Arabidopsis thaliana: one gene and its partners. The protein of the gene in region 3 interacts with the protein of the main gene of each other region in a pairwise test. Each region holds a gene or a part of one and is shown on either strand. Other genes may lie near its edges. The genes, in order: IQD6, UBC34, WAKL10 and AT1G65690.

Evidence for each region.
Region 1: the proteins of WAKL10 (region 3) and IQD6 interact in a protein complementation assay, tested with the Arabidopsis thaliana proteins (one large-scale study listed by BioGRID).
Region 2: the proteins of WAKL10 (region 3) and UBC34 interact in a protein complementation assay, tested with the Arabidopsis thaliana proteins (one large-scale study listed by BioGRID).
Region 4: the proteins of WAKL10 (region 3) and AT1G65690 interact in a protein complementation assay, tested with the Arabidopsis thaliana proteins (one large-scale study listed by BioGRID).

Annotation. Positions count from the first base shown.
Region 1 is NC_003071.7:11,142,449-11,147,212, forward strand, and holds IQD6 (IQ-domain 6), read right to left. Parts: upstream 2,656-4,764; 5' UTR 2,535-2,655; coding exon 2,469-2,534; intron 2,395-2,468; coding exon 2,167-2,394; intron 2,090-2,166; coding exon 1,862-2,089; intron 1,790-1,861; coding exon 1,676-1,789; intron 1,600-1,675; coding exon 985-1,599; 3' UTR 842-984; downstream 1-841. Other genes in the region: CYP711A1 (cytochrome P450, family 711, subfamily A, polypeptide 1), read left to right, coding at 1-222, 315-410, 493-822. UniProt on the Arabidopsis thaliana protein: May be involved in cooperative interactions with calmodulins or calmodulin-like proteins. Recruits calmodulin proteins to microtubules, thus being a potential scaffold in cellular signaling and trafficking.
Region 2 is NC_003070.9:5,915,941-5,922,296, forward strand, and holds UBC34 (ubiquitin-conjugating enzyme 34), read right to left. Parts: upstream 4,403-6,356; 5' UTR 4,039-4,402; intron 4,037-4,038; exon of another isoform or gene 3,258-4,036; 5' UTR 3,223-3,257; coding exon 3,166-3,222; intron 2,963-3,165; coding exon 2,908-2,962; intron 2,495-2,907; coding exon 2,456-2,494; intron 2,374-2,455; coding exon 2,310-2,373; intron 2,210-2,309; coding exon 2,148-2,209; intron 2,082-2,147; coding exon 2,024-2,081; intron 1,947-2,023; coding exon 1,919-1,946; intron 1,755-1,918; coding exon 1,663-1,754; intron 1,483-1,662; coding exon 1,206-1,482; 3' UTR 892-1,205; downstream 1-891. Other genes in the region: AT1G17285 (uncharacterized protein), read left to right, coding at 4,775-5,172, 5,278-5,347. UniProt on the Arabidopsis thaliana protein: Accepts the ubiquitin from the E1 complex and catalyzes its covalent attachment to other proteins.
Region 3 is NC_003070.9:29,979,264-29,984,719, forward strand, and holds WAKL10 (WALL ASSOCIATED KINASE (WAK)-LIKE 10), read right to left. Parts: upstream 3,557-5,456; 5' UTR 3,487-3,556; coding exon 2,520-3,486; intron 2,414-2,519; coding exon 2,297-2,413; intron 2,151-2,296; coding exon 925-2,150; 3' UTR 710-924; downstream 1-709. Other genes in the region: RFO1 (Wall-associated kinase family protein), read right to left, coding at 1-74. UniProt on the Arabidopsis thaliana protein: Serine/threonine-protein kinase that may function as a signaling receptor of extracellular matrix component.
Region 4 is NC_003070.9:24,430,617-24,435,010, forward strand, and holds AT1G65690 (Late embryogenesis abundant (LEA) hydroxyproline-rich glycoprotein family), read right to left. Parts: upstream 2,550-4,394; 5' UTR 2,283-2,549; coding exon 1,820-2,282; intron 1,322-1,819; coding exon 1,026-1,321; 3' UTR 801-1,025; downstream 1-800. Other genes in the region: EXPB6 (beta expansin 6), read left to right, coding at 1-54; LSM8 (Small nuclear ribonucleoprotein family protein), read right to left, coding at 3,847-3,937, 4,029-4,081, 4,161-4,212. UniProt on the Arabidopsis thaliana protein: Plays an important role in the abiotic stresses-induced abscisic acid (ABA) signaling and biosynthesis. Acts as a positive regulator of ABA-mediated seed germination inhibition. Functions downstream of ABF2/AREB1, ABF4/AREB2 and ABF3.

The DNA of each region.
Region 1 (4,764 bases), on a different chromosome or scaffold from region 3:
GCCAAAAACATCTTCACATCGGATTATATTAGTGCTGTGACTTATGAGCATCTTCTTGCTGGCTCTGCAACCACTGCTTTCACACTATCCTCTGTTCTTTACTTAGTCTCTGGTCATCTTGATGTTGAGAAACGTCTGCTTCAAGAAATTGACGGGTTTGGGAACCGTGATCTGATCCCGACTGCTCATGACTTACAACACAAGTTTCCATACCTCGATCAGGTGCTTCATTAGTAACAAACAAAAACCGAGAAGTTGAGTTTCTGTGAGAGATTAGAATCTTTATGAATGTTTTTTATTTGCCTCCTTTGTAGGTCATTAAAGAGGCTATGAGATTCTACATGGTTTCTCCTTTGGTTGCAAGGGAAACTGCTAAAGAAGTGGAGATAGGAGGTTATTTACTCCCAAAGGTATATTCAAACCCATCAAGCGGATTAGTCCATTTACAGTCAGCACTTGTAATCTATTACTTACCTTGTGGTTGTTGCTTAGGGGACATGGGTTTGGTTAGCACTAGGAGTTCTAGCAAAGGACCCTAAAAACTTTCCAGAACCGGAGAAGTTCAAGCCGGAAAGATTTGATCCGAACGGAGAAGAGGAGAAACATAGACATCCATACGCTTTCATCCCATTCGGTATCGGTCCACGAGCCTGTGTTGGACAGAGATTTGCCCTGCAAGAGATCAAACTCACATTACTGCATCTCTACCGTAATTACATTTTCAGACATTCCCTAGAAATGGAGATACCACTGCAGCTTGATTATGGTATAATTCTCAGCTTCAAGAACGGGGTTAAGCTCAGAACCATCAAAAGATTCTGATTCTTGAAACAAGTGAAATAAAAGCAAGACTGAAATTTATATTTAAATTCAAAACTCCAATGTAGTTCCAAAGGAAAAAGAACAATTAACAACATACACAGATATCTCACAACACACAAGACAACAACAAGCTGTTGAAACTCCAATCTAACAAGGTCACATTTAACCTCTCGGCTTCTCGAATCGAGTAGGAACACCGAGTGGTTTGGAGAAACTAACAAAAGGATCTGAGGAAGGACTAGTCTTCAATTCCCCTGTAAACATTCCAGAGTTCTTCATAAACTGAAACTCATCCATAGATTGCCTGAGACCGCGGTTAGTTCTTCGCTTAGCCTTTGTCGATTCAGTCAAGCTCATGTAACTTGGCTTGTGCTTTTTTGCTTGACTGCTAGAGTTATCTGAAACAAGTCCAGTTTTTCCAGAAACAGGCGTAGTTGAAGTACAAATCGAGGATGAACCTGAGCTCTCGTTAAACTCATAACCAGGACTTGAAGACAGCATATGAGGAGGAGGTTTTGCAGATACTCTAGTGGTCACATTGTTTCTTCTAACTTGAACAACATCCGCAGTTTCCGGTGATTTCAAATGTTTATGAGGCAGAGGAGGAGGCGTGGCAGCGGTATCAACAGTGTCCATAAGTCTAGTCTCCCATGGCCTAGCAGCCATCCAACGCTCCAACCAACTCCATCCCCAACTATTCTTATCAAACTCTTGACTTTTAAGATACGAAATCGAACTATTCGTCTTAAGGTTTGAGCTAGTAGTTGACCTCCATTGCTACACAAAACAAGATTCCCGATTCAGCTTCAGACACGAACTTAAACAAGATGTTGAATGTGGACAAGTTAGTTACCTTTTGAGCAAGAGCATAAGCCAAAGCACGTTCCCTCTTAAAAGCACCTTCTTGTCTCTGCTGCAACTTTGACTTAATATCATCCACAGTACCTTTCCTATCACACCACCCTTCCTGAGAACATAACAAATCTCAAAACAATAAACAATCATCAAACCAATGAGCTAAAAAGGTAAAGACAAGAACCTCGACTTCTTTCAAGAGATCAGATTTGGTTCTATGTTCATCTAAAAGCTTTTGAACAGCTTGTCCTTCAACAGTCATCCTCACACGACGAGCTCTAACACGAGCTTGTACTCTCACCAAAGCTTGCATGCATCTCAATGTAACAGCTGCTTGTTTCCTAACTTGTCTTCCTCTCACTAAAGCTTGTAACCTCACTATCCCTTTCAATGCCCTCAACGCTCTTCTCGCCTAATTAACAACAAATCCTCAAATTAAACTAAGTTCTATTCCTCTCAATTCTAATCAAAACCAATTAGCAAACTCACCAAGAATCCACGAAAAGCGGTTTGGATTCTAATAGCAGCCCATTCTTCTCTAACAGCTTTGAAATCTTTAGGAGGAGCTCTAAGAACAGTAGCAACAGCAGCAGAGTAAACAGTAGAAGAATCAACACCGTCTGAATCAGACCGATGTTTTCCTCGAAAACCCTTCCATGAATCTACTGAAGTAGTCCTCCATAGCTTCCATTTCTTGTTTTTCCCATTACCCTTTTCCTGAAAACAGAGTATCTCTCGATAAAGCTTTAACCTTTGAACGAGAGAACAAAAAAAAAAGATAATGAACTTACGATTTCATCCTTCTCTAGCTTCTTGAGACCGATAATGGACTTGACCCATTTCCCTGAAGCACCCATAGATTAAAAAGTTTCGATCTTTTTGGCTCGAATTCGTAGATTATTTTTTTCTTCAGGTATGTAGAAAGTTTGAGAGTGAGAGATTGATAGAGAGAGAGAGAATATCGGAGAATGTGAAGTTGTGGTGGTAATGGAGGGAGTGGTGGGTTAAAGAGAAGTTTTTGAAATTTGAACAAATCAAAGCAAAGCAACAAACAAAATATTAATAAAAAGTTTGCTCGAGTCTTTAGGCTTTTGTCTCTGATTGTGTTTTCACACTTATTTATTACTTACACAAACAAATGTGTCTGTGTCCTTCTCAGAGTTACAGGCATGAAAAAAGAAACCATGAAAAGGTACAATAAATTAATAAATATATATATATATGTATGTTAGGCTTTTTGTTGTTTTTTACTTTTTACAGTGACTCACTCATGTTCATGTAATACCTTGTTTTGTTTTATTATTCTTATATCATTGGATTCGAAATTTAAACTTCCCAAAATGTTGCAAATCAGATTTACGAAATACATTCTCTTTCGAAAAGCAATGTTTAGCTTTTGGATTTTGTGATTTGGACTGGTTAGACCTATCACTTGTCTAATAACCTCTATAACAGAACTTATTATCTTATATAATTATGACAAGGTTTTCTTTCTAAGACCATACACATTGGTCTTATGACTCAACAGTCAACACCCTATTTAACTCTCCACAAAACAGCGTTATAGCAATTTAAACTTTACAACTCTATTGCAAATTATAATAAATTATGCTCTCATAAAAAAACTAAATTCACGAGTGATTGATACAAAAAAACAACAACTGAAACGACAAAAGAACAACCTAAATTCACGAGTTAAAGAATCGAAAAAAATGCCCATGTATCTCCCAAATTTAGTTTTCAATATATATACTATTTTTTCTCGCTCATATTTAGTTTGAGTGAATCTTGTACATGAATCTATTTGTCTAGCAACTTTAAGATTAATTAGACATAATAAAAAAAAAAGATTAATCAGACAGAGAAAAAAGATGAACTCTGTAAAGATTGGGTCCTTAGCTATACAATGAAAATGAGATATATACAATTAATTCTAATTGATGATAACTTCTTAAAATAATAAAACAAAAATTACATGAAAACATGTACCACCGAAAACATGCACCATCACACTTGGGATTGAGTCCCGCTCGATACAAATGTAGGGATTTGGCTAATGGGCCGGACAATTGTGGCCCAATGTTGAAAAAAAACTACATGAAATACACAATGAAAGGAAAAAAATTCGATCCAAGAGTTGTTTGTCTGGCTAATGGGCCGGCCAATTGTGGCCCAATGTTGAAGAAAAAACTACATTAAACATACAATGAAAGTAAAAAAAATCGAGTCAAGAGTTGTTTCTGATATGATGTACATTAGCGATTAATGTGCTAACTCACAAATCAACCAGAATGGTGGTGGCATAGCTCTTAAAGAGGAAATGAGATAGAAACAATATGTTACAAACTAAAAATAAATCAAAATCATAGAGTATTACAACACACAAATAAATAAATTGGAAACAGACTCTACATGAAACCCATGAAATGAATTAGAAGAGAGAACACAAAAATATTGTATTAAATAAAATCTTTTGCCATTTTTCAATTGAGGATCATAATACATTGACGATGAAATCCAGAGATTGAATTCCTGATACCAAAAAAAAAAAGCAAATCAAAACCAACTATTGTTTTTTAACACAATTTAATCCACCTCATTTTCATCATCATTTGCAATATCCTATTAAATCAATTCAACACTCTCTATTGTAAATAATTTTAGATCATATTAAGCGGATCACTTTCGGCAAACGAATTCTTTAGACATAGGAGTGTAACTTTGGCTTTGGGTCGTTTTTCACATATCTTTGAAGGTAGAGAGAAGAGATAGTCAAAATCCTTTTTTAACTTCTTTAGTTGTTGGAGCTTTCTTTGGAATTTGACTAAACTTATGGTTTCTCTACTGTTGGACTAGGTTGGATTTCTTCATATCCAATATTATTTGTCCGTTGTTGACTTTTCTGATATAATCAACTTTCTTCAATTGAGGTTTTGCAACTTCGCCTTCATTGTCAACTTTTTGCATGGCGGTAAGAAAAAGTCTTCGTATTTTCGTTACCTATTAGCAGTACTGCCTATTAGTAGTTTAGTACAAATGAATCATTTTGATAGTTTTAGATGTTTTTCGGCTCATTGTATATTAATT
Region 2 (6,356 bases), about 24 Mb from region 3:
ATCCTGCAATTCCATCTCAAGCTTTTATCGACCAAACACAAAAAACATCACATTCTCATATCAAATCTACTTACATCTTCACAGCTTTTGCACCGAAAGAAAGGCCTTCCAGGGTTCTTAGCCGTGCTCGATGTAAACATGACGACGTCGAGCCCACATTTACACTTAACAGGAAACCCACGGCTCTTGAAACCTCCAGCTTCAGCATTCGAAATCATTCCTGAATTGCAGCCTCCACTTTCACCACTCGAATTCCTTGAGTTGCAGCTCATAATGCAGATTTGATCGAAAAATTTGAGAGAAAATGATTTTTAGGGTTTGGGTTTTGATTTGGGGATTTTTCAGAGGTTTCGTCGACTTTGAAGTCTGTTGATAGCACAAAACGTCGTCGTATCACCTTAACGGATGTTCTGTAACGTCTGTCAATTACGCTGTTAGAAGGAATTTTAACGGTGGTTAATTAGGCCGAGTCAACGCAAACTTGAATGTTAAAACAGAAGTCAACTTTTTGTTGAAAGTTAAAACGGCCATTTCACGAGTTCACGGTTAATTTGACCATTTTTTGTAAGTTGAGGTATTAAATAACATTTTTCCCACTAAATTATAGAGTTAACATTATTAACCATAAACATAATCACTTTCACTGGACTGGACTCGAGCAGAAGAAGAAGATTGGTAACAAGTCAACGTCGGTGGTTGAAGACAGATTGAACCGGTACAGCCATACCGGTTTTAATTTATCATTAAGTATGGTTTTTTCCTTTTCTTACCAATGGGCCTAAAGGGACAATTGCTTAATTGGCCCAATATACCTAACAATTCTATTCACTATTGTCTGTGTATTCTCTCTGTCACTTCTGTTTTCATCAAGTTACTACACCAGAGTATTTACATAAATTGACAAATTAACCTGTGAGCTCTAGGAGAAGTACAATTTGAAAACCATACGGTTCTATTTTTCAAATCCAAACCATTATCCTCAATTCATATATACTATACAAAGTAGTTCCAACGAAGCTACAATATGTATGTAATTGTGAAACCAAACTTATGTTATCTGCTTTTACAAGCACAAACCATGAGGTGCTAAATGAGTAAATTCAGACGAAGAGCACTAGACAAAAGGAGACTACTCTTGATGCTGAAGAGAGAGAGACACAAGGAGAGATTATACGAAAACCAGGTCGAGGTTTGTTGCATAGAAATCACAGTTGAAGCAGAGGCAACGCCATTACCACACCGAAAACCGACACTAGCAACAGTATTATCCACGCTGGCAATCCCTGTTTATTGTTCTTTTTCCTCTCCTTCAAGCCACCTTCTGAATCTCCCTTTGTTGGATCGATGGTTTTCTCTGACTCGACTTTGGTATCGCTCTTTTGAGGAGACTCTGGTGTTGTCAGTTGTGTGGTAGCTTGCTCAGCTAGTTGCTGCTGGTTGTACTTCTCTACATACTCTGGAAATAGCTTTCGAAATGCTGGGCTGTCACAAGTAAGAACATTGGATTCAGGTGAAATACCGAAAACATGTAATCTCAGGACTGCATTCATTCCTATATTCGTTATCTAACCAGCTTTTATGACTATCCTAACCACAGATAACTAAACTTAGCTTCTATATGAATCCAGAATTTGAAATTTTTTGATGATGGGAAAATCTTACGTTTTACAATTGAAAGCGAGAGATGACTTAGCCAACCGTTGTTTCTCAATTACAGTAGTGTTAACACTTCCAGTTGTCGGACTGGTATCCATCTGCGCCGCAAGGAAAACGTTTAGAGAAAGCTTGAGAACAGAAAAGAAAAAATAGACTTCCTTTTTGAATATTCATATCTAAGCTAATAAACCATTACAATATAAGAATATGAGAATTTTCAAACAAGATGTCCATAAATATGTAGAACCTACAGTGAGCTTACCATAAATGAGAGAAGTCCTGTAAGTATGCTGCATTCATGAAAAAAAGTTGGTTATCAACGGGTATATCGATTGTCATCTTCCAAAAGTAAAGAAAGAATCTATACCTTGATACAGACCACATCGGATTCCAGCTTTCTGGATGAACTGTAAATGCCATGTCAACTTATTTCGATATTAGACAAGTTAATTGATACGAAATAATGAACAGAAAGTGCAGATTGTCCTTACAATCACTCATAGATAAACAAATTTTCTTCTGTGTCATGAATCGACCATTTGGTGTAGTCATTCTGAGGCAAACAGAAAAAGATTTGGTTCATTAAAAAACTGGACAAAAAATGAGGTAAGAGTAATGTTGAGACTGAATTTGGAGGAACCATTGGAACATACGTAATCCCTGGTGGCTTGTAAGGATACTCGGGAGGAAACTTGATCTTTCCATAGTAAAATCCACCTGGTAAAGAGAATTTTAGTATCAAAAATAAGATACTGCGTAAGACAACACTAACAAGAAACTTTCAAAAGAAGATTTTCACCTGCAAAAGGTGTTCCCTCACTGCCTTCCAGCACATAATCTGTAAGATTAATCCAATAGTTTAACTCTATTTTAGTAAGAGATCAAGCTACCCTTTTTAACATACTAAATGCAGTAATAATAGAAAGACTGAAACTCCCTAACCGCTATCAGGCTAACAGTAACACTGACAGCCTTTCACAATTGAGAAGAAAACTATCAAATCTATGCATTGTAAGTACATATAAACCTTTGATAAATAAGTCTTCACTATTCCATCAAAGTAATGTGAGACCTCTTCTGTCTACTTAGATCGTAGTATCCCATTTTTTCTTAGTTTAACGTATACTCACAAGTGTAGCAAATATGTCCATCATATATACTTATCATAACATCTTTATAGAAACGCTTGCAACAGGATTACAGGAAGCCAGCAGGAATAAAGATTAAGAAAAAAAGATAGGGAAGGCTTACGCCACTCGAGAATGTCATTTGGGGAAGGACGAGCAACAACATGGGAGACTGGTTCCTAAAGGCCAAAAACAGAACATATTAAATAACCCCCAAAGAAACAAAAGAAAATATGAAACTTACTCTAAACCAAAACCAAGAAAACATTCACATATAGATACAGCATCATTTGAAAGTACAGAGAAAACTGGTTGAGCAATAAAAATATGGAATCCTGGTTCCAGCTCGAGAGAGGTAGAAAAACAAGTAAAGAGAGTGTACCTTGCAAAGTGCTCTATATTCCTTTTGAAGACGTTTTATACAGGCCTTTTCTGCCATCTACGTGCTATGGACGAAGTGAATAGCTGCAGCAGCTGTTACACCCATTTAACATTATCAACAAAACGAAATACAAATATGAGTGAAAGTCCACCTACTGATGAGATGGACTACATAAAACCCTTATGTCTGAATTACATATATGAACTACATAAAAACATATATCGAAACGAGTAAATTGCAGTTGATTTTCGTGCCATTGATATGGAAACTTTACCAATTGTACTATCTCACAACACATATACAGAGATAACAATACTTCTAGCTATTATGCAATACTTTCATGACCTGATTGAAAAGAAAAACCAACCAAATACACACAAGATCAAATGAAACTTGAGTCAAACAACTCTATGATCACCAGAAACACCCTTTGAATAAAAATCCCCAATTTCCATGAGCTTGGAAAAATCTTTTCACCCAAATCACTGCAAACCAATTGAAAGCAACGAAAATTCAATCGAATTCCAACCAAATTAAAGGAAATTATCTGGAAATCCCTGGAATTATATATCAACCTAGAAAATCCTTTGATTGAACCGAGAAAATTGCAACAATGATAGGCAAACCAAACTCGAATCAGCTGCAATATCTTCCATAAATATATAAGAAAATCACAGATACTTCCACATAAACCGTATCAAAGCAAAGTCTTAAACTTGTTAGAGATTCCAATTGCAATTTCAAGCTTCGCTCTTACCCAGAAACGCAAAGGAACAAGAACAACAAATCAAAAGATAATGCAGCGAAGAAATTCCAAAGTAGATAACATCAGATCCAAGAAATAATTGCGAAAATATGAAAGAAATTGATCACCTGAATCGAATTTTGTCGATGAAGATTTTCTCTCTTGGGGTTTCTCGTTAATCTCACTTTCTCCTTCTCCGCGGGTAGAGAGAGAAAGAATTAGCCTAACTCGCGCTTGGTTTATCTAAACCGAACAAAATTCAACACAAGTTAGACCGGTATTGTATAATCCATTCCGGTTCGTTATTAGAGGATCAATGATTTAATAATTATTTTGCGTAATGCACTTTTCCCTATTTCTTTATTCTCCACCACTCATCAAAGAATCTGTGCCGGTTCTTGGAATCAATTTTTCCTTCTCTTCATGAAATATAAAAAAAATAGCTGCAGAAGAAGAAAAAAAACTAGTGATTAGTAGTGAGACAAAACAGCTGTTACCTGCAATTTTTTCTTTTCTGAAATTGGACTTACACTAATACCTCCAAATTCCAAAGTTATGCTTAAAAAATAATTTCAATAAAGTTAAGTTTCAGCCTCTTTTGAGTTCCCCGATAACAGTAGGCAGAAATCACGTGCTCTAATCACATGACCACCATCTCTTAGTTTCAAAGCAGTTACATGAGTTAGGTAATGTGAATATGTGGATCTTTGTCTCTACATATGATATTGTATCATTGTTTCAATGTAGATGCTTGAGGAATATCATCATCATCGTAAGTAAATGATTAAGAATAAGATAAGTATCTCACCATCTGATTAAATAGCATTAGTCAAAGTAAGATCACGTGATCAGATCCCAATAACTATGTGTTCAAACACACATAAATCTTATTCTATAAAACCAACAAGCTTTAGAAGTCTCTCGTCTCTCTTTTCTCTAACACACATCTCCATCCAAGATTTTCTCAGTTCACAGAAAAACAGAACAAGAAAAAGTCAAGAGGTTTCAAGAGTCCTAAAGGAAATTTCAAGAAGAGAACTCAGAATGAAGAGATGCTGTTCAGTGGCTCTGGTTCTGTTACTTGTAGCTTTCTTTAGCAGCAAGTATAGTGTAGAAGGACGTTCTCTGTTAACGATGACACATTCGAGTCAAGCTGTGAGAGATTTGCCTGTAAGCAAGGAGATGAAGAAAGAGCCACTTAAGGGAGAAAATGATAGCTTCAGAAGAATCCCAAGGAGTGGCTCAAACCCTATACAGAACAAGTAAAGAAGATACGAGACACAATCTAGTTTTTCTTTTTTTTTATGTATCCCCAAAGATGAGTTTTAGGTGTAATTGACATCAAAAAGTGTTTCTTTTTGTATCAGGTGTAATCCACCGGTAGATGTTAAAGCAAGTAGGAAACAACAGCAGATCACAACATCAAGAAAACCTTAAAATTCCAGTTCTTTTTTTGTCCTTATTTAGATCCTCTACTTTCGTTTTTTTTGTAGAATAGGTACCTAGACATGTGTGCTTTTAATGCTGTAATCTACTTGAAATATATGAACTCATCTTTTAATCTTATTGATCGATCAAGATAGGATGAAAATTTAAAACGCCTCCTAGCTCGAGTAGTCTAACTTTCCAAAACTATTCTCAACCTCTTTAATCTTTTGAGTTCTTCTTCTTTTCTCTGCTTTGTGGTTTCTTTTATTTGACTTCAGCAGACTTATCCTCAGCCATAGCATGTTGTTCTCAGTGGTGCTTAAAACCTTAAATATAAAATGATCAACCTCTTTATCTATGTTCTCGGTTCTATATGCTTCAAAAATGCATCCTCAGATCCGTAAAAAATTGAAAGTTGTTCTGCAGGAAACCTCACAATATCCTGACTATTTAGCTGCCTATCTCGATATCCAGTGATTACTCCTCACTGCAAAACAGCAACAATGAAAGAAGTAATCACAGCTGTGAGCACTAGATTCCTTTTGACATGTAAGTTTGTACTTCTCTAAAACACCGATACAGATTGTTGAGATTGTTTACAAACTTTTGGACCAAGAAGAAACAAAGTGGCATCCAACACATTACTCAAAAATGACGTCGTTTTGCTGATCCCATGTATAATAATATTACTGTTATTAGGAAACGCTGAGAAAACCGCCGCCAAAATGACGTCGTTTTGCTGATCCCATGTATAATATGATGAATTTTTCCCACGAACCGGTTGGGCCGGAAGAGAGTCTCTAAACCGTAACTCGGCCCATAATGGCCAAATTTTGTCCAATTTCTAACAGCGTTTTACGCGCCGACTCCGACCAATAAAACACATGGTTTTGTCTGAATAATCCACGATCCAGAAGTTCTTTATCTCCAATTAATTGTTCATTATTATTATTAGTACCAAACTAAATTAAAAAGAAGAAGAAAAAACCACCTTCATTTATTACGACCTCTCTTTAGA
Region 3 (5,456 bases):
GTTATCAAAGGACCATTGATGAACAGAGTTAGGATAGAGAGTAGAACAGAGAAAAAAAGTCTCCTTCTCTTCATTTTTTTTTTCTCTAATGACTTTTATGTATGAAAGTTCTATTTTAGAAATTATTGAGCCGTCTCGTTGGAATTTGGAAGTTCTATTTTGTCAACGGTCAAGGGATCAATTATCATTACAAGTTTACACAACTTATTGTCCAAATCAATTTTGTAATTTTTCATAATTAGAATCTTAATTTTAGTTATACGATTTTACTATCATTTTTTTTCCCAGATGATATAACAAAGTTGATTATTCACATAGATTATTAATATCAGGAAATTGACTATTCACCAACGCAAATCATTCATATGTGTGCAATGGAAAAGTTGACTATCTTAATTCTTAAACTAAAGGATCCTTTTCATCAGTCGAAATTTCTAAATTATGTTGGTTAAGGTTCCATCACATTGTCAATTAACATAATTTCTGTTAAACCGAAATGAATTGGTCATTGAGTCGAATCGGATTAAGGTTCAACATGATCCATGATCTGACCGGATTCACAAAATTCTCATATAATTGTAGTATAAATTTTTTTTTAAAAACAGTCTCAACGGTTTTATGTTTTGGACATGTATAATTATGTAAGAGAGCCCATGTCCAGATAACAAATACTTGAGTAAATTCTGTAATAATTATTGCCAAAATATTTAAAGAAGTAAACTATGAAATTATTCTTATGTATTGGGAAGTGTATAGTACAAAGTACAAACTACAAAGTGGTTACAAACAGATCTGTATGGTTAATAACACAAATTGACGAGTGACGACATTTATAGAAATAACTTCACACGTAAAGACCAAAACAGAACGTAAATGCAAAGATATGAGGTAGTAATAAATTTGTTTGCATGCATGGTTAATATATTACCGAGGAAACAATGGTTCAACATCTGACCGCGACGAAGATGTTGTAGCAATGCTGTATTGAGATGATGCGGCGGTAACACTCACGTAGTTTCTCGACTCTACGTTAACGTCCACTAATGTTTCTTTTTTTTCTTCTTCGTTTTCGCTAGCATACTCATACGGCTGCATATCTTCAGAATATGAACGAATCTTCTCCAATTCCATCGATACTTGTCTCATACTTGGTCGTTTCCTTCCCTTCATATTCAAACATTTCCTTGCAATTTTTGCGGCTGCTGTCACTTGATTCAACTTACAACCATCTCTTATTCGAGCATCAATAATGTCGGAGAGTCTGTTCTCTTTCATTGCAAGAGTGAAATAAGTTGCCAATGTCCTATATTCCTGAGATCGCAGAAAAGAGACTGATTTTTCTCCAGTGATTAGCTCCGCTAGCACGACTCCAAAGCTATAAACATCACTTTTGTCTGTGAATTGGCTCGACTGGAAATACTCTGGATCCATATATCCCACCGTGCCTGAAACTACTGTAGTGAGGTGGGTATGATCCACGGTCACCGTTCTTGAAGTACCAAAATCGGACACTTTGGCTCGATGTTTCTCATCTAACATTATGTTTGTAGACTTGATGTCTCTGTGATAGATTGGAGATGATGCAGCCGAGTGCAAATATGAAAGCGCTCCTGCAATATCTACAGCAATACGAAGACGCACTTCCCAAGTAGTCATCGTATAATCATCGGAATCATCATGAAGATGCTCAAAAAGGTTACCATTAGGAATGAATTCGTAGACTAGAATAGGGACATCTGTCTCTAGGCAACACCCCAAGAGTTTTACGATGTTCCTATGGTTGATTTGTGAGAGAATGACGACTTCGTTGATGAACTCTTCTAGCTTGTCTTCGTCTACGACTTTGGACTTCTTTACTGCTACTATTCTACCGTCTACAAGCATTCCCTTGTACACTGTACCTTGACCTCCTTCGCCTAGTATTCTGGTTAAGCTAAAGTTTTCGGTGGCTTTCTCCAACTCTCTTGAGTTGAACACTCTTGTACTGTCCACGTTGCCTTCAGTTGTAGTCAATTGTTGTTGCAACAATAAACCCCCATTACGCTTAAAGAATTTCTTCTTTTGGTTTAACCTCCTTTGTCTTCTAATAAATTTGTATAACCAGTATATTCCACCAATGAATACCAATGTGCTGAAACTAGTGCTAAGCCCTACAAACCCACAAAAGAAAAATGAAAAGCAAAATACATTTTCTATATGGCTCAACACTATTTGTACACAATCTTATATATGTATATATAAAAGAAAACTTTAGATAGATGTGAGTGTACTTGAGATGAAAATTTTCATGACTTACCTATAACAAGTGGTCGATGATTTGTGTACTCACACGTATAACCGCCCAGCAAATTGACACACTTGCCTGCCGTACAGACTGGGTTTCCATCAATGCCTCTTACGCATTCATTAATATCTGATTTTATTAAAATTAACATGTTATCAAACAATGATCTCGTTGGAATATTTTTATCATGCATGGTCATAGAAAACTAGGATAATTAGCGCAATTACTTATATACCTTTGCATTCGCCAGGAATATATGGGTTGCCTTCGAAACCACTAGCGCATGAACATGTTGCATAGCCTGTAGTTGTAGAGTTATAGTCGCAAAGGCAACCTATTCCGTATTCACGATTGTCTCTTCTTAGAATTGTGTACTCGTCTATACTTTTGCATCCTAGAGAGCCTATGAAGGAATGATTCGCCGTATGGATGAACCATCTTAGGTCAACCGTATCATATCCATTAGCATGAAGCCTCTCCGGGTCAGATCCATTTGACAAAAAGTATTCCTCGTCTGTTATGAAGGCAACTTTGCATCCCTTGGATTCTGTGTTACTATCATCTATTTCCACACCAATAATCTGTTGATACCTAGCGGGCAAACTTGCCTTGCAGCATCCAATACCGTTGCAGCTTGTATCATTCATAATGGAAATATTTTTACAATACTCGGAATCGCCATACCTAGCATTACAGTAGAGTACCCCGAGATAATCATTTATAGGTATATCTTGATTTGTGCTGCAAGTAGACTCGCATCCCACAATACTTGGCTCGACATTTGTCAACGACGCCGTGTTGTTGCAGCCAACCGCTATGAGCATATTGTTGTCGCCAAGGTAAAAAGGGTAACCTGTCATATTTAAAAGTGATCCAAACTCTTGTCCGCCACTTGAGCATCCCTTTGAAGCTATTGGGTTTCTTATGCGAATTGACCCGTAGCCTACGTTAAAGAACCGGCGATACATATCCGAAAAAGAGATACTCACAACTTCCCTGTTAATGATGGAAAGAAAAGGAACAGAGTTGTTGACACAAATAATCTCGTACCATTTCTCGAGATAGCAACCCGTTCCGATTCCAAACGGGTACGGGATGTCGATTCCTCCACATGTCTTAGGACAAGAGCTAGCAACGGTGAGATCAATGATCAGAAGGAGAGAGAAGAGACTCAAAAGAGAACAACTACAATTAGAGCTCATATTAATGTTTTCTGTTTATGATCTGCTCAAGAAAAGCTAAAAGCAGAGACGGGTTTTGTAAGGATGAGCGAAGGAAAAATCTTGTGTTTAGTTTGACCCAGCAATGAATCATAAGTCTTCATCTTTGAATTTCGCTTTCATATTTTCTTCTCTGGTCAGTCTTTGTTTCTCTAGTCCTCCTAGTGAAAGCTTTTCTTGCTTTCAGTGAGCCTCCTTGTTTGAATTTCAATATTTTATATTCCTCCATTTATTTACGAGAAAAAAGAAAAATATCAAAACGTGACTGGTTTAGGTCGCGAGGAGAAATTTCCACTGTAACTATCACAATCCGACTCTAGATTAAAACGTGGCTAATTAAATATCAAAAAGAGAACAAGTATCTGTAGAGCTCATGCATGTTTATTATGTGTTATGATCTGCTGAAACATTAGTCAGAGTTGCGTTTTTTGGATTTTCTTTTGTAAGGTCACACGCATGAACGCAAGAAACATAGAGAAGTGAATCTAGCTCAGCTTATTGTTTTAGGCTTATTAGAATAGTAGACACTTTTTAAAAAGTAATTTGAGAAGTAGGTAGTTTTTTTAGAAATTTGTGAAATAGACACTTTTTTTACTTTTTTTGTGAAATAGAGGTTATGTGTAATAAGCTAAAAGACAAAAAATATGTCAAATACCATTTTACCTTTTACTTTATATGAAAAAATATGGGTCAAACTTTTTATATTATTTAACTATTTAGAACTATTTTTATTATATTATAGTTATTTTTTTTTTCATATTCATCTTTTTGAATTTTATAAAAATAAATTATTTTTAAAAAATAATTTCTTCTTCCAAAAACAAGATGATTTATATGTTTTTAATTATAATTCTCGTACACCAGCATTAAAACATAGTTTTGTACACTAACACTTATACACCAAATCATTTTATACATATCTTCTAAAATATTTCTATTTATCTCATATTTATAAAATAAAATAATAATTGTTCATAAATTAATAAAAATATAATGGTGTACACCATCATGTATACTATTAAATTAACCATAATGGTGTATACCATTAAATGAAAGTAATGATTATACATTTTTACTTATGTACACTAACATTTGTACACTTTTATGTACACTAATCTCATATTATTATTATTTAAACTTTGTTTTGTATATTATCACTTGACAAAAATGGTTTTATCTTTTGAATATGAGGTGTACACAATAGGTGAAGGTGTACGATATTATATACGGTGTACAAGGTGATTTATGGTTTGATTTATTATCTCATTATTGCATGTATACTATTAATATCATGTACACCATATTTTACATTTTCGTACACCATCTTATTATGTAGTTATACATCATTGTATATTATCGTTTGTACATCACTTTGTACACTGTCTATACCGTATACCACTTCTTAGATCATTAAGAAACAAAAGTTATTTTTGACTTTATTTGACTATATGACAAAACAACAGAAGGCTATAAAGGTCATTCACTAAAATCTCTATTAGATAGAAAATTGTATTAGAAAGGAAAGAGAAAAGTGTCTATTCTCCCTATTTCTAAAAAAACTACTTACTTTGCAAATTATTTGTGAAAAAAGTGTCTAGTTTCCAACTTATCTCTATTGTTTTCTGCTACAATATTTAATAAATCGTACTTTCTCCTATACCTAAATCAACACGGCCTTTATTTGTTAGAGTATCTCCATGGGATAGATACCCTTGCTAGTTTCTCAACAAAAGAAAAAATTATTATTTTAATTATATAATATATTTTGTTTCAATTATAATACTTAAACTAATATTTGATTGACATGCCGCGATTTAGGCTGAGAATCGTTTCTCCTTGATTCTCAAGTGAGAAACTCTTCTTCCACTCTCTCTTACTTTTTTACTTTTGGGTTATTATTTTATTATTAAGTTTCTCATTCAGAAATGATGAAGATGGCCTTACGTTTACAT
Region 4 (4,394 bases), 5.5 Mb from region 3:
CCGGCGAATTGGAAACCTAATGAAACTTACCGTTCAGTTGTGAACTTTAAGTAGAGTTTTCTTTGTCAAATTTGAAATCCGACACATTTCATTGTTTTTCTCTAGTCAAACTACAATATACAAATCTTTTTTTTTTTGGCCAAATAATATACAAAGCTTATGATATAGTAACGAATAATAGAAAGATATATGACTTACCACCAATATGAGCGCATATATTATATTTTTTGCCATTCTCTAAATCTTTTTTCATCAAAAGAAAAATTATCGACATTATGCTCATTCTCTAGCCAGTGTTACAATACCTTTCAAAGGTAGCCTTCCTCCTGAAACTGGTTGTACAACTACAAAGACTTCGGTTTGGTATATAACTTGAACTAGGAATTTGTTTCTTTGTACTTTTGATTCAGGACCTTACTTCATGAGGATAGTTCTCAAATTGTTACAGAGGACTGTCACAAGTTAAGTACATGAATCTTCTTTGTGTAAGTTCTTTTAGCGTTTCTTTTCTACATGTCTCTCTCTTCTCGCAAAAATTCAGTTTGTTCTATATATCTATGTCTCTTTATTATCTCTTTCATGTTGCTTGGAATGTCTTACCATAAGGTTTATTTATTGAGTTTGGTCTTTGCTTTAGAATACCAGAAGTAATTGTTGGAACAAGTAAATCTAATGCAAATTTGAATTCATAACTAAGATCTTGGAGTTACCTCCAATTTAAGTTGTAAGTAGTTAAAACTGAATTTTGGAGTCTACCTTCAACCAATTGTTTGCTTAAAAGAAGGTAAGGTGGAGTGGTGGACATGCTCTGGTTTTAAAAACTTACAACTACTATACTTTGAATTCCACCTATGTACATAGTATTGTATACTTTAATATATTAATTTAAACCAACAGTTTATTATACAACAAAGGTCTGAGACACAATAATGTACTTTAGAGGAGAACTATATATGAGTATGTGACTATATCTGACAAAATTCCCTCTGTATATCTCGATATTAATTATATAAAAAAAAACGGATCTATAACCTAAGACGAAATTTGCAACTACTACTTTGAATCTTAATAACATTATTGGTAGCCAAGCTATCAACAAATACACCACATCTGACCAAGAATCTTACTTCGAAGAGCTTCAACTTCCCAAATTTGACCCGAACCGGTTGGTTTACTCTAATTCTCAATGGTATATTCCCGGTTCTTTGTTGTTGCTCTTCTAATGTCGTCCTTAAACCCGATGCATTTTGTGTTTGACCAGTCATTTCTACGTATATCACTGTCGTATTTTCATGTCCTTGGTAAAATTTTGGCAACGACCCTATTCAAAAAAATCACAAAAGTTCAATGAAGTTAAATCTATAAGAAGACCCGGTTTGAAATGGTGTAAACGAATTATAATCAAACAAGAAAACCAAACAACATAAATAAATATGTTTAGTTTTGGGGTTTTCAGTCCGGATAAACCGGTATGATCCAACTCTACCAAAAACGATTGATTTGAATGAATTAACTCTATTATATCCGAACTATTGAATATGAACCGAACAAAAACTATCTAAACCAAATTTTGTTTGAAACTAAAGATATACAGTATTTGACAATCCTAATCCAAAATGAAAGTAAACCCAAAGCCAACCAAAAAAATTTAGACATCCCTAATTTGAAAAGAGTTTTAAAGTCTTCCTTGTGTACGAACCAAACCAAAGGAAAAGAACAGAAATCAACCAAATAAACCGGTTTTGTAGTGAGATTTTGAAGCCTTCCTACGTTAAAAAACCAAAAGAAAGCAAACCGGAGTAAACCAAAAGTGACGTACCATTGCTTAGTTGATGTTCCATGTACCACACGGTAATCTTGCTCCCATCTTCATAATAAATTCCAATCTTCTCGTTCGGATTCTTAGCGGTTATAGTCACGTTAAAAGCCGTAGTCAAACTCGAGTCTTGGTTCAGTGCAAACCGGGTGAGCTGTAACCGGTCAATAGAGTAATCCGGTAGCTTCGGTTTAAAGACAAGGTATAGTATACCAATGGATGCGCCTACTGCAACGACAAGAAGCAAAAGAAAGCAGAACGTGTAGCAAAAGCATCTGCAACAACAACTTCTTCTCTTCTTTGGAGGAGCCAACGGCACGAACCGTTGTGGCCTTTGGTTCAAAGGGACTTTGGATGGGTCTCCATGTTCTGATCTAGAGGAACCACGAGGAACCAAAGGAGCTGTTGGACGCGCTGTTGCGGCTTCTGGATCTTGGACCGGATAGATTTTTTGGTGTTGAGACATTTTTGGAAAATCTTGATGACACCAAGAAGAAGAAGAAGCTTTGTTTGTAGATCTTATTTAGGGGTTTGGGAAATTAATATAAGTAGGGACCTTATGGAGTTTTTAAAGTCAAGAGGGAAGAACTTTTCAATGGAGAGACTTCTCTATATGAACCTATAGATTATGAAAAACAAGTACATTCGCTTCCATACAACACATCACACGTGTAATGTGAATTTGCGTGTCTGCTTAGGTAGCGGTCTTTTATGGAAATTGAGTTTGATGTGAACCCATCAAATAAAAAAAATAAAAATCATTAGTAGGTATCAAATTACTTGCAATATAGATGGAAAAATTAGGATGACTTTTTGGAAAATACATATATTGTAGTCCTATACATTATCAAACAACTAAAAGTTATATCCACTTAAGATATTTTCCAATTACTATTTGTTTCTTTTTATTTCCTATAATTTTTTCTATTTACTCTTTTGCTCTTTCATGTTTACTCTTCTTGATTTATTTATATTTCATATATAAATGGTACTTAATCTACAAAATAAAATTTCATATATTTACGCCTCGCATTGTCTTTGAGAAAATACAAGTTTTTAATATTTAGATCGCATATAGTTTGACTAATAGGTACATTATAAAGTCAAAATACATTTGATGAAGATCTACTTTACTTTTGTTGACCTAATCCCCTAAGACTTATGCAGCAGTGTTCTCATGCATTTCGTCATGAATTTTTTTTCTTTTACTTTTTTGTTAACATGCTTTATTTTATTATTTTTTTTGCAAATAAAATTCCATTCGAAATCCCTAGGCCCCAACGATGTTAATTTATTTGTAGTGTTTCTGTTTAATATTAATCGTTATCAACGAAAAATTTTTAGAACGCAATTCTTTTGTTCTTCATATTAATAACCAAAAATCAAAAGCTTCTGATAACACTTACTATGAAAAATTTCAAGAAATAAATCACTTAATATGAAGAATATTACATTGGAATCGTAAAAGAAGACCCAAGACTCCGATGAAATCAGAAGTGTTTGGTTTTGGCGAGTTATTACCAAAACCAACGACTTGTATGATGCGACTATGGGAGAATGACATATTAAGTTAATATCTATATTGTTGTCTTATAGAAAATGTATGATGCTTCTAAGTTTTAAATACGGCCATTTGTTGATGTTGATAGATTTGATGATGTATATAATCCTTCTAGATGAAATTGCAACGACATTATAATTTGTAAGATACCAGAAACTAATTCCTCTTTTTTTTTTCTTTTGCAATTTGAATATCTATAAAATTTTGGTTAACAATAAAAGTTTTTTTTCTAATCAAAGAATTTGTGGTCTAGTAGCAAACCTAGGTCCGTCCAAAAGATTGTATGATTTAAGTTTCCGACCAAAACGTTTAAGACATAAAATATCATATAGCTTTTGTCCTTAGGATACACAAATAAGACAACTCCAGACATCAAAACAAACTATCCAAATTGTTTACAATCAAATCTTCTCTTTGTTTTTAGGCTTTGAATGAGAGAATTAGATTTTCTCACCATAACTATATTCAATCAATGCACTACGGGTTTCAACGGATGGGCTCTCAGCTTCGAAAAATCCAGACTAGCATCAAGCTCCTCGTCCAGCTCCCCGATAACACCTCTGATCAAAGATGACACCATTTTTTTTATTGAAACAAAAAAACAATTGCAATGTTAGAAAATCACTGATGATGATGGATGATAAGAATTACATGTTGTCCCCTCTGATGATGTACAAACCCAACACATGTTGTTGTACTCCTTCCTGCAAAGATGAAGACATAGTAAGAGGTCTCAATCCTAATTCCAATATCCATCATTTTAACAGAACTCTGCCTTCACACCAAAAATATCCAAGAACATTTGTCTAATGAAGTATCAACATGACCTGACATACTCTTAGTGTAAACAAGAAAACAGACATGAATCAAACCTTTAACCCTCTTACGAAAAAAAGGAGGTGATCATGTATAATTAATTACACACTGCCAATATCTACGTATTTGACTTACCTATCACTAGCTAAATCTTTTGACATATGAACTCACAAGATTTTTTCAATCAGTTATAACACTCGA